Linked DNA regions of Neurospora crassa OR74A. The protein of the gene in region 1 interacts with the protein of each later gene in a pairwise test. Links are inferred from orthologs where the notes say so. Each region holds a gene or a part of one and is shown on either strand. Other genes may lie near its edges.

Evidence for each region.
Region 2: the proteins of NCU04439 (region 1) and NCU03961 interact in binary tests that used the Saccharomyces cerevisiae proteins (3 or more experiments, as listed by UniProt). The link is inferred for Neurospora crassa OR74A from reciprocal best matches to the Saccharomyces cerevisiae genes HCA4 and ENP2.
Region 3: the proteins of NCU04439 (region 1) and NCU03824 interact in binary tests that used the Saccharomyces cerevisiae proteins (3 or more experiments, as listed by UniProt). The link is inferred for Neurospora crassa OR74A from reciprocal best matches to the Saccharomyces cerevisiae genes HCA4 and RRP36.

What each region holds. Positions count from the first base shown.
Region 1 is NC_026504.1:3,354,625-3,358,819, reverse strand, and holds NCU04439 (ATP-dependent RNA helicase dbp-4), read right to left. Parts: upstream 2,819-4,195; 5' UTR 2,698-2,818; coding exon 2,551-2,697; intron 2,474-2,550; coding exon 149-2,473; 3' UTR 14-148; downstream 1-13. Other genes in the region: NCU04440 (hypothetical protein), read right to left, coding at 3,469-4,195. UniProt on the Saccharomyces cerevisiae protein: ATP-dependent RNA helicase required for ribosome biogenesis. Involved in the release of U14 snoRNA in pre-ribosomal complexes. Required for pre-rRNA cleavage at site A2.
Region 2 is NC_026506.1:2,245,940-2,250,228, reverse strand, and holds NCU03961 (WD repeat protein), read left to right. Parts: upstream 1-1,477; 5' UTR 1,478-1,584; coding exon 1,585-1,616; intron 1,617-1,676; coding exon 1,677-3,582; 3' UTR 3,583-3,852; downstream 3,853-4,289. Other genes in the region: NCU03962 (hypothetical protein), read right to left, coding at 1-351, 425-463; NCU03960 (hypothetical protein), read right to left, coding at 3,853-4,142, 4,210-4,289. UniProt on the Saccharomyces cerevisiae protein: May be involved in rRNA-processing and ribosome biosynthesis.
Region 3 is NC_026505.1:2,530,889-2,534,438, forward strand, and holds NCU03824 (hypothetical protein), read right to left. Parts: upstream 2,127-3,550; 5' UTR 1,952-2,126; coding exon 1,733-1,951; intron 1,588-1,732; coding exon 808-1,587; 3' UTR 530-807; downstream 1-529. Other genes in the region: stk-25 (ABC1 protein), read left to right, coding at 1-468; NCU03825 (hypothetical protein), read left to right, coding at 2,486-3,550.

The DNA.
Region 1 (4,195 bases):
GACCGACCCTTTTGTCAAAATACGTGGTTTAGGTATCATAACAAGTCTAAAACTATCGCAAAATACGTATGTAAACATCCATGATTGGATGACGAACCCCGATATCTCTCCTTTTCCCACACCAACACCAACATTGAAAACCAACTCATCAATCCTCCAACAAGCCAGCGGCCAAAGCCTCCAAATCCTGCAAGTTATCCGGCTCATGATCCATCTCAATGACCTTCCTGCCGCCCTCCATCTTAGCCTTCTTCCTCCTCGGCCTGCCGTCATCGCTATACTCCGTATCCGAGTCATCCTTCTGGAACCACTTCTTAGCCTTCTTCTTAGGCGGTTCCCTATCGTCCTCGCTCTCGTCACCGCTGTCACCGCCCTTGCCAGCAACAGGCAAACTTCTGAGCAAAGCCAAAGGATCCTCCTCCACATCGCTGTGCGCGTCCAGCAGCGCCGGCTGCAGGGGACCCTTCTCCCTCTCGACCTCCTCTCCCCTCTCCCTTGCCTTGGCGCGCTCCCTCTTCTCCTTCCTCCGCTGCTTGGCCAGCAGCTTGTCTTCGACATCCTGCTCCTTGACCTTGGTGGCTTCGCTCTCGACGAACTTCTGCCTGAGCTCCTTGGCGTCGCCCTCCTTCTGGAAGTCCTCCTCGTCTTGCAGCTGGTAGAGCGGGTGGGCGTTTCCTTCGTCGTCAAACACAAGCTTCTGGCCCTTCTCCATGTACTTGAGCAGCTTCTTCTTGGACTTGAGCAGCTTCTCGCGACGGTGCGAGTCGATGACCAACTCGGCGTTCTTGCCCAGCTTGACCACCTTGGCCGTGCCGTCGGGGTTGGTGCCGGACTTGGCATTGCCGGCGGCGTCGTCGAGGGCGGCATCGTCGTCCAGCACGCGCTTGACCGAGAGGAAGTCGTCTTCCTCGTTGTCTTCTGCCTGATCTTCTCCGAGAAGCTTGCGGTAATGCGTCGACAAGACGTCCTGGTTTTGACGCTCGGCCATCTTGTCGTACTTTGTCCTGACCTCCTTCTTCTTCTTGCGGATCTCGCCGTCCGAGCCTTCGGTGTCGGACCCGCTGGACATGGCGGCGCGCGAGGCATTCTTGAGCTTCTTGACGTCCTCGCCCTTCTGGTATCTGATCTGTGGAGTACCTGGGAGACCCAGGCTGGAAGCAAAACCGTCGAGGTCGAGTTTGTCGAACTTGAACACCTCCTTATCCTTTTGCAGGTAAATCGAACGGACGTACGAGACGAAAGCCTTCTGTCCGAGGTATTTGAGATCGGGTGACTGGAAACACTGTGACTGTAGTTCGTTCTTGATGCTCTTCTTCTTGTTTTCTTTGACGTTCACTTTCTGGACGGTCACCTTCTTGTGCTCGAGACGCTTAAGGAAACCCTCTTCTTCGCTGGGGTCGAGGAACAAGACGGCGCGGCCCTTGCTCTCGTAACGCGCCGTTCTGCCGACGCGATGGATGTAGGTGTCGGCATCTTCAGGGCAATCGACCTGGATGACCCAGTCAACGGCGGGGAAATCGACACCTCTGGCCACGACATCGGTGGCGAAGAGGCAGGAGTATTTCGCGGACGTGAACCGGTTCGTGATCTCGAGACGTGCTATTTGTTTTTGGCGACCATGCAAATGTAGTAGTGGAATACCGGGCTGCATCCGCTTAAAACTTTCGTAGACGAATCTGACCTGCTTGCCGGAGGACATAAACACAATAATCTTGCTCTTGAGGTTCGTTCGTAGGAAGCCCCATAGCGTGTCGAGCTTCTCAGGGAGAGGTGTGACGATGTAATGCTGTTGGAGGCCGACGGGGGTCGCCGATGCTGCGGCTTCGTGAACAGAGACGTATTCGGGGTCCTTCAAGCTCAACCGGGCAAGGTCCGAGACACGCTTGCTTTGTGTGGCGCTAAACAGCAGGGTCTGCCTGCTCTTGGGAAGATGCTCAACAAGAGCGTCAACGGCCTGTTGGAAACCCATGTCCATGATGCGGTCGGCCTCATCAAGCACGAGCATCTGGAGGTTGTCGACATCGAAGCCGGCCGTTTGGTCGAGATGCTGCAGCATACGGCCAGGTGTGCAGACGAGGATATTCATGCGCCCAAGACGCTCCGCCTCCTCCTTCAAGCTCTTTCCACCAATGACCAAGCCTGCCGAAAAGCTGTGGTTGCGACCAATCTTCCTGAGAACTTCAAATATTTGGACGGCCAATTCACGGGTCGGGCTGATAATGAGGGCACCGAGACCGTCGTACTCAGTCCATCGTGCACGGTATAGCTTCTCGAGGACGGGAACAAGGAAGGCGAGGGTCTTGCCGCTACCTGTCCTAGCAGCGCCGAGGATATCTTGCCCTTTGAGCGCGAGAGGGATGGCGGCGCGTTGGACATCGGTTAGGACCTCGAAATGGGATGCGCGTAGTCCAGAGGCGGTAGGTTCGCAAAGGGGAAGGTCCGAGAACTTGTTGAGTTCGGTGGATTTGGGGTCCTAGTAGATTGAGACACAATATTTAGAAGCGTGTGCGGTTGTATGGTGAGAAACGGGGGTTCAGTACTAGGACTTACAAGTTCGTCGATTCTCTTCTGAAGCGCCTCGAGGTTCTCCAACTCTCTTTTCCTCTTCAACGTCTTGTGTTCGGCCTTGTTGGCTTTGGACCTCTCCTTCTCGGCTTTGCCCTTGCCACCGCGGCCTTTGGGGCCTCCTGGAGCCATTGTGTTTGTATCGTCTGAACGTGCTGGAAATTGGGCGTGGTGGGTTCGACGAAGTTCCAAAGGTCGGGTCTGCTAGTCGAGCGAATCCAATTGCCTGCGGGTCGTCGCTGGTGGCCTTTCAGTTCGATGCGAATGGGAAAACTTTTGGCGGAGAGCAATTCTGCCAGCTCGACCCACCTCATCCACTGTAAGCGAGGGGATCTGCAGCAGGGGTCTCGGACTCGCGGCCAGCTCAGACCAGGGTTAGGGTCATACGAGCAGACAGACGACCATCGAGTTGTCAGCCCCCAGTGACATTCTCAAGTCGTTGCTATGGTTCATGATGGGTTGGATGGGCAGTTGTACGGGGCTGAAGTAGAAAATTCACAGTAGCTTTTGCATCGAACCAAATTCGAATTGTAGTGGTTTTATCTCAGCGCCCACAACTTCAGCAATCTACATGTTTCACTTAGAACAGCAACATTCGAACATCAACACCGTGCCTGAGCAATGAAAAGAGCCAAACTATCATGAAAGCATAATGTATTGAACCACGAAAAAAATGAGCTTGAAGACGGGTATCGCTCGCTCACATGATTCCTTCGTAGGTAGACACCCGCAATAAAACCAACCCACTAGACCCACCCATATGTACGTTTCCCAAAGTTGAAAGCGATAAAAAAAAAAAAAAGGACCAAAACGCCTTGCCCCATTCCCAATTTCCTTGCTTTTCCCTTCAATACGTATTCGGTAGCTCAAGATCCGTCGCCCAGATACCCATTATCAATCCTGTTATTCCTCGCCCTCGTACTCTAATTCCTCCCCAAACAGTTTCAGGCGGTAAATGCATGTATGATCCAGGGCTCCATGGTTCGTCTTGGCTCTGACGACCACCTTGTACGTCGCCGCATCCAGATCGAGCAACTCCTCCGACAGCTTGTGGACAAACATGCCGTGGCTACCGCTGGTCTTGGCATAGTCGTACTCCAGCTCGCCGATCTTGACGTATTTTCTGTTGATGAGGGACAGCGATTTTTTGTTGTTTGCGTCGACCATCTTCATGTCAGCTTCGCGCTCGCCAGGGTACAACTCGTCCATCCAAGCCAGGAGTCGCTTGTTGTCGTCCGCGTCCGGATAGTATCCCCAAATCTCAATGTCTTTGGGCATGGACCCAGGGTCATTCGTCGCGTTCGGATGGACGTGCTCAACGACGATGGCTTGGGGAATGACATGTTTGGCCATCTCCACGGCGAGCTCGGCCCCCCTGCTGGCTGAGATGCCAGCGCACCAGCACTGGCCAACGTCGTTCCAGGCAGAGAGCGCCAGCATGTATTCTGCTTCCAGGGTGACCTTATCCTTGCTCGAAATGGGCTTCGGCTTGCCGAGCAGTTTGCTGAGGTGCTTGTTGCCTGGCAGTGCTTGCGACTCAAGTCGGTATACGGGGGATGATTCCGACAAGACGATACCAGCTTCATTGCCCAGGCCGAAATGATTGACTTGAGTTTCAACGTAGTCGTGG
Region 2 (4,289 bases), on another chromosome or scaffold:
GTCAACAACGGAACCGGCAGAGGACGAGCTGTTTGGAGTGTTGAGAGAGTTTGTCCCAAGCTGTCTGCTTCTGAACAAGCTACTGGGTTCAAAGCCGCCTTCTCCAGACAAGCCTAACGAGTAACCGCAGACCTCCATCTTGGCGGTGAGCCCTCGCTCCTCGGGTCCCAACATGGAGCCATCCTTGGTTGTCAAGTAAAAGACCCATATACATCGCCGGGTGGTATCGACGTGGACGAGGTGGCCATCCCGGCGCAAGGCATCCTCGACGACTTGTGGCTGGAAGGTGTAAGAGGCTGTGTTGGCGGCAACGGGTTCGTAAACGCGAAAAGAAATGGCGGAAAGATTATTCTGCAGGAGAGACGCGTGAGTTAGGGGGGGGGAGTGGGAGGCGGTGGTCCGAGGACGGGACAGGCCAGCATACAATTAGCAAGGTATTGGTATCATAGTCGCCAGTGTCCATATCTGAAATAGAGATGCCTTTGGAGGCGGAGTCGCAGAAGTCGTAGTGACCATGCACCGGGCGCGAAGGCGTGTTAGCGGAGTGGGATGAGGGCGCATGTAGGCCGGCGACGGCGGCCTGAGGGACGGTGTGATGGCGTGTTGGGATGAAAGTCTACTGTGGCGACGCTCAGAAGTGGAAGCTGTGGAAGCCGAACTTCAAACAGCATGGATGATGAACTCGGTAGTTGTCTTGAGCTGTACGTCGTTGGGATGCTGGACTCCATGGCAGCAAGGCCCCTGTCCATACAGCGCGAACCGTCGCGGATCACCGACCATGCGCCCACGAGGTCATTTGCGGGTTCGGGACCTGGGAGATGGGACGGAGTGAGGAGCTGTAAGGCGGGAGGGGGATGCGATGGGATGACGGGATGCGATATTACTGTAGGTTAGTGTCGTGGGACTGAAGGATGGTGGACATCGGTTCAGGTAGGTAGGTAGTTGGCGGTCCGGTGGTAGTAACGAATACGGTGACGGCGGGCAGTAATCGTGACTTCACAGCCGCCATCGAGGTGGCCGACTCGAATCAAAAGGAATTCGGTCCAGTAAAGTCCATTGCAGTCAGTTGGGTTCCAGGTCGGCGGGATGCCCTGCCCGCCGATGCGACAGGCGAACAGCCACGCAGGCAGTTAGGTTCGGATCAGCGACGGGGGAGGACCCACACTACCTCTAGAGGTATCCACAGCTGAAAGGACCCTGCTGCCAAGCACAATCCAGGCCTGCCACCTCACCTACCTAGAGGCACCCGGCCTAGGTACTGCAATGACCTGCTGACGGCGACGCCCGCCTACCAGAATTCAAAGGTCCACCACGGGCAGTCCTCCCGTCCCGCTTCCTCTTCAAGCCGCCTTATCGCCCTACTACCTTTCGCTTTATCGCCGGTGGCTCTCCGCCTTCCTTATTTGGCGACCATGGCACTTCTCTGAACTTTTTGCAGATTTTCTGCCGCAAAAAGTTCAGATACGGGTTAGGGTTGTTCTCCAAAACTTCCCATTCAGCAGATAGTAGCAGTTGAAGCTTTCTCTGCTTTCTCAACATCTTCCATCCTTGCCCCATCCCTCATCACCAACAAAACCACCCATCATGAAATTGACAAATCCCGGCGCGGTGCCAGTGTACGTCTATTTGCCATTGGAAAAGAGAGATCCGCTGTGAAATGCTAACCATCATCGCAGATACACCGTATCTGGGCCGTCGACTGCGAGACCCCTTCCAGAATGGCTTGCCCGCCGCAGAAAGAGATCGGCCAAGTACGAGCCCGAAGAACTCAACAACTTCGAGCTCCTCCAGAACTTCGACTTCGAGGAGGCCAGCAACTGCGTCCGTGTCAGTGAAGATGGCAACTGGATCATGAGCTCCGGTACCTACAAGCCCCAGTTCCACGTCCACAACACACAGGAACTGTCGCTGTCTTTCGCTCGCCACACCAAATCCGAAAACACCACCTTCATTATGCTCAGCCAAGATTACACCAAGAGCGTACACCTCCAATCCGACCGTTCGATCGAATTCCATACCCCCATGGGATGTCACTACGAAGTCAGACTCCCGCGCTTCGGCAGAGACCTTGCATATCTCCGTCAAAGTACAGAAGTGCTCATTCCCTCTGTCGGTTTGAGTGCGGATGGTTCTGGTATGGGCGAGGTTTTCCGCCTCGATCTGGAGCGCGGCCAGTTCCTGAGGCCATGGCAGGTGGATGTGGGTGAAGATGAGCCCGGTGCTGGTCTTCAGGGAAGCATCAACGTCGGAGCTGTTAATGTCGCGGCCGTCGCCGAGTCCACACACGGTCTTTGCGCCTTCGGAACGACCGTCGGCACAGTCGAGTTCTACGATCCCCGTAGCAGGAACCGCGTTGCTGTATTGGGCGGCCAAGAGGGCGAAATCACTGCGTTGGATTACAGCAGAGACGGTCTCTCTCTTGCGCTCGGAACAGGCACGGGTATTGTTCAAGTTTTCGATCTGAGAAACCCTCGCCCGCTTATGCGGAAGGACCAGGGCATGGGTCTTCCCATCAAGAACATCATCCACTTGACGACTCCTACCGAGGAAAAGAAGCTTCTCACGGCCGATAAGAGAATCATCAAGCTCTGGGACGAACAGAGTGGCGACCTCTGGACCTCAATCGAGCCGACCGTTGACATTAATCATGTGGCGCATGTCCCCGATTCCGGCATGCTATTGACGGCAAACGAGGGCAAGCAGATGCACAGTTTCTTTATTCCCAACCTTGGCCTGGCTCCCAGGTGGTGCCATTTCCTCGACAACATGGTCCACGAAATGGAGAACGAGAAGCGTGTCGACACATACGACAACTACAAGTTCCTTACGATACCCGAACTCAAGCAGCTCAGCTTGGCTCACTTGGTTGGCAAGACCAACCTGTTGCGTCCTTATATGCACGGTTACTTTGTACATTCCAAGTTGTACGACCAGGCTCGTCTCATTGCCAATCCGTATGTCTGGGAAGAGGAGCGGGCCAAGCGCGTCAAGGAGAAGGTTGAGAAGGCTCGCGAGAGCCGTATCAGAGGTGTCAAGAAGGTCAAGGTCAACCAGAAGCTGGTTGACAAGATTGTTGATCGTTCCGACAAGAAGAAGATTGCCGCTGGCGTCTTGGGCGATTCTCGTTTCGGCAAGCTGTTCGAGGATGAGGAGTTCAAGGTCGATGAGACGTCCAGGGAGTTCAGAGCCCTCAACCCCAGCACCCAGGTTGGCGGACAAGATGTCGCAGTACAGCATGTCAAGGACGACTCTTCAGTTACCAGCAACAGTGACGATGAGAGCGATCCGGAAAGCGAGGTCGAAAGCAAGAAAAAGAAGAGCAAGAAGAGCAAGGATGACGTGGTCATGCAGGTCTCGTCGTCCAAGATTGCGGGCGGCAAGGCGAAGGATACGGCATTCGGCCAAAGAGCTCCAAGGACCGGGCGCGTCACTAAGACCCGAACGGACGTGGTCGGAGAGCAGAAGATTACGTTCGTGCCCGAGTCCAAGAAGAAGAAGCAGGCTGAACCCGAGGCTGCACCAACACGGAAGAGACATGATGGGAGGCGAAGTGCAAGCACGAACACCTTTAGACGACTGTAAAACGCCAGAAGCTTATTGGTCCAACCCTATATACTATACATGTGAAAAAGTCATGGTATCTTTCATGTCAACTCCTCCAGGCCGTGGTGAACCGGCCAAGAACATCATTGCCGTCCACGGCACACATTTCTTTCCGAATACGAGTCGCAAAGCAATAGGCTCGCGCGACCAGCGATACCCAAAATATACCCCAAGCTTGCCATTTTCGTCATCAAATGGTTCATTATATCTCAACTCGTGCTGTCTGATTTTCTCTTGCGCCACACCGGCTCACTTCCGACTGAAGTTGATGCGTGTCTTTCCTGACTTCTCCGGCTTCCCCATGCCCTTTTCCAAATCCAGATGCTCGGGTTTGATGCGCGGGGTGGGTGGCACATCATCGATCCTTACACGGCCTTTATGTTGGGATCTGGTTGATCGGAAAGATCCCTTGACCGATCTGGGGAACTCGCTGCGTCGTGGGGTCAAAGCCGTGACGACCCTCTTTGCCGACTTTCGAATGGTCTCCCTGACCTTCCACTCATTTTTCTTTGCCAGGAAGAAGAGAACTGCGCTACCGACTGTTGGAGGGAGGGTCAATATCATGTCCGGTCAGTGCAGTATTGCTGATGGGCGAGAAAGACTTACCACCGAAGATGGTGACGACACAAACAACCACAATGATGGCGATCAGACCACCTTGAGATAGCCCGACGTCGTTTGATGAC
Region 3 (3,550 bases), on another chromosome or scaffold:
TTCTTGTACAACCCCGAAAAACAACGGCTGGAGCTGCTCGACTTTGGCGCTAGCCGAGAATACCCGGAGGAGTTCATCTCGCTGTATATCCGCCTGCTCGAAGCCGCGTCGCGGGGTGATCGCCCCGCGGTCAAGTCCCTCTCTGAAGAGCTGGGGTATCTGACGGGTCATGAGAGTAGAGCGATGCTGGAGGCGCATATCACTAGTGTCGTTACACTGGCTGAGCCGTTCCTGCAGAGTGCGCCGGAAGTGTATGATTTCAGAGATCAGACGATTACGGAGAGGGTCAAAGCGCAGATCCCCGTCATGATCCATGAGAGGCTGGCACCGCCGCCGGAAGAGACGTATAGCTTGCACAGGAAGCTCAGTGGGGCGTTTTTGTTGTGCGCGAGGCTGGGGAGTAGGGTCAGGTGTAGGGAGATGTTTGAGAAGGCTTTGGAGAAGACGGAGTATTTCGGGAAGAAGTGAGTGAGGTGTATGTATGATACTACTGTGGCTGGAAGTCGGGCTGGTAGGGATAGATTTGGAGGGTTAGACCAGAGTTTCTGCAAGTGATTCTTTCTTCTTTCCTGTACATCTCGGCCGAATGTTCTCTGTTATAGGGAATCTACCGAGTAAGATCACCTCAAAAAGCATAGCCAGCACTTGTGGGGTGATTTGTAACAATATTTGTGAATATTACCATTCCAACCTTTTGCGCGCCTGCTTCATCTATCAGTCCTTGATACCTAGGTATGTCTCCCATGCAGCCATTTATAGTATACCCCCAGTGTTTCAAGCAAGCAATAATCCACTCTTCCCCTTCGTTTACCTATCCTCAGCCGTCCGTCTCGCCAACGGCAACGCCTTCTTCTCCTTGCCTGCAATCTTCTTCCTCTTGCGCTCAATCGCCTTATCGACCTGGCTCTTCTTCATGCTCGCGAACTGCTCCACAAGCAACTGCTTCTTCTGCTCTGACTTCTTCAAGTAGAAGGGCGTCTTGCCCTGCTTGATGAGCTCCTTCTCCTTCTTCTTGTGCTCCGACAACAGCTCGCGCTCCTTATCCTTGCGGGCGCGCGCCTTCTTCTTGCTCTCCATCGACAGGAGCGCCCGCTGCAGCTCCTCCTTTTCGTTGGCATCTTTCGTCTTCTTGATGGCCATCCGCAGCTGCTTCATCTCGTCCTCCTGGTAGTCGTCCAGGAACGAGTAGGCTTTGCGCGCCTTGATCTCATCTACTACGCTTTTACCGGAGCTGCCGCCGATGCCGGGGGGCGCGAACCGTGGGTCCCGGGATTTGGGCTTGGCGGGCTCGTTGGCGAGAAAGTCGCGACGCCGAGAAACGGGTTTTTTGGAGGTCGTCTCGACGGGCGCGTGCTTGTTGGTGCGGTGGTGCTTCTCGACCTTGGCCTTCATGCCCTTTTCGATCTCGGTCTTCCAGTTGGGCTCTTCTTTCTCTTCATCGTCATCGGAGCCGTCCTCATCGCCGCCCTTCTTCTTCTTCTTTTTCTTCAGTGCGCCGAGAGAGGCTTGGGCTCGGGCGAGAGCACCGAATGAGAGCTGCGAGGCGTCGATGCCGGCGCCGCCGTGCTCTGAGGGTGCGTCGGAGTCCTGTTATTGAGCATTAGTCGTAGTTTTTTTTTTTTTTTTTTTTTTTTTTTTTTTTTTTTTTTTTTTTTTTTTTTAAAAAAAAAAATGATAGTATTGTTTTTTTGTGCCCATTTGAAGAAAACAGAAAAAAAACAAAAACCCTTACATCGTCACTGCCTGGTTCACTGCCCTCCTCAATCTCTTCATCCTCCTCCTCCTCCTCGGTGTCGCTGCCTGTGTGAAAGCCGCCGCCTTCTTCCTCACTAGGGGCCTCATCTGAGCTCCCCTCCACATCCGAGTCGGGCTCGGCTTCAAATCTCGGACGAACACGTCTCTGGAGCTTAGCACCCAGCGTAGGGGCAGCTTTTCGCTTGACCGCAGGCATTTCTTACTCTTTTCGGGTCCACAATTTCGTCCTTTATAAGTTCTATCCTGTCTCTGGTGGCAGTGACAACTTTGTTGTGCGTTTGATTTGAGATGGTTACCCTTTTACGAGGGAACAAACAGCAGCGGGTGAAGAAAAGGTATGAGTGAAGTCACATGGATATGTGTATGTAGTTGGTTGTCGAATTGGCGTTGAAAGTTCTGCCGCCTGCGAGTGAAGCAACATTGCCCCGCTTTGACGGGTTTTCTCAATGTATGATTGGCTAGATTCCTAACCGATATTTTGCCCGTCCCCTGAAAAGCACAGAGGCCGCAAACAGGCGTACAACATCACTTCTTGATAAAAGTGTGACATCTCATTCACTGAGTTGTTTGGAGGTCCAGGAACACGGCTTATTGGATATTTATTACCGCACATCTTCCTCAACAGCTGTGGCCTACAGCTGAATGCGAGCCGGGCCGACTTCAAGCACCTTGGAGCCAAGTGGTCCGTAGCGGCACCTTTTTGCACCGGCCTCGTCTTTTTATCTCAAGGATGATGATGAACAGATTACGAATATTCAACACACCAGGTCGCTTTCGTCTCACAAAGGACTGGCAACTATTGCCAACTACACCATTATTGCCTTACTTGCCTCGCAATAAATATTTCAACACATACAAACCGTTCTTGGCCAACCAACCTTCGACGAGGTGCATTCATACGGCTGAAGACAGTTTTGAGGCGGATAAACTGTGCTCTGTGTTTGGCGTACAACACCTGGCTAAGAAGGGAACCGCACAATCAAACGAGACATTACCAGGCCCCTCAGAACCGTCTCACCAGGCGGCTGGAGAACAGGGCAGAGTGGCTTCCGCTGGAAAGGGTCAAAGGGGCAGCAAAAACGGAAACGAAACGCAGGAGCAAAGAAGGTGTCAAAGGCTGGGTCAGCAGCAGGACAAACTACAACGACAACAACAACAGCCTCAAGACGGTCTTAAGGCACAAATACAGCAAACAGTGGACCAAATGGATCACAATCACTTCGGCTACCAGCCGGGTTACCCGCCAATATGGCAGGGGGAGTTTGTTCAGCAGCAGCAACAACAACAACAATACCAATACCAAAACCAACAGCACTATCCTCGGCAAGAGCAATATGGCATGGGATATGCGCCGCCCCCAAATATGGGCTATGGCTTCATCCCTCCTACTCATCTCAACACCTTCGCCCCAGGAACGACCATACCGCATTGGCAACAACCTCTGCCGCCGTTCTACTCGGGAGCAGGAACACGAAGTTACCATACCAACACCAACAACAACAACAACAACAACAACAACAGGCCTCAGGTCCCTCAGCCCGCTGGTTGCTATCGCTCCAGGAGTCCCGGACCCTACTCACGAGTAAGACAATACAGCAATAGCAACAACAACAACACCTACACCAACAACACACACCCAGACTTTTATCGCCCCAGGAGTCCTGGACCTTACTCACGAGGAGGAAGACGAGGACAGTACAACAATAACAACAACAATAACATCAACAACCACCATAGCCAGCAACAGCAAATACCGCCCACCTCCAGGCCCTCTCATCCGCCCAAGCTCAACAAG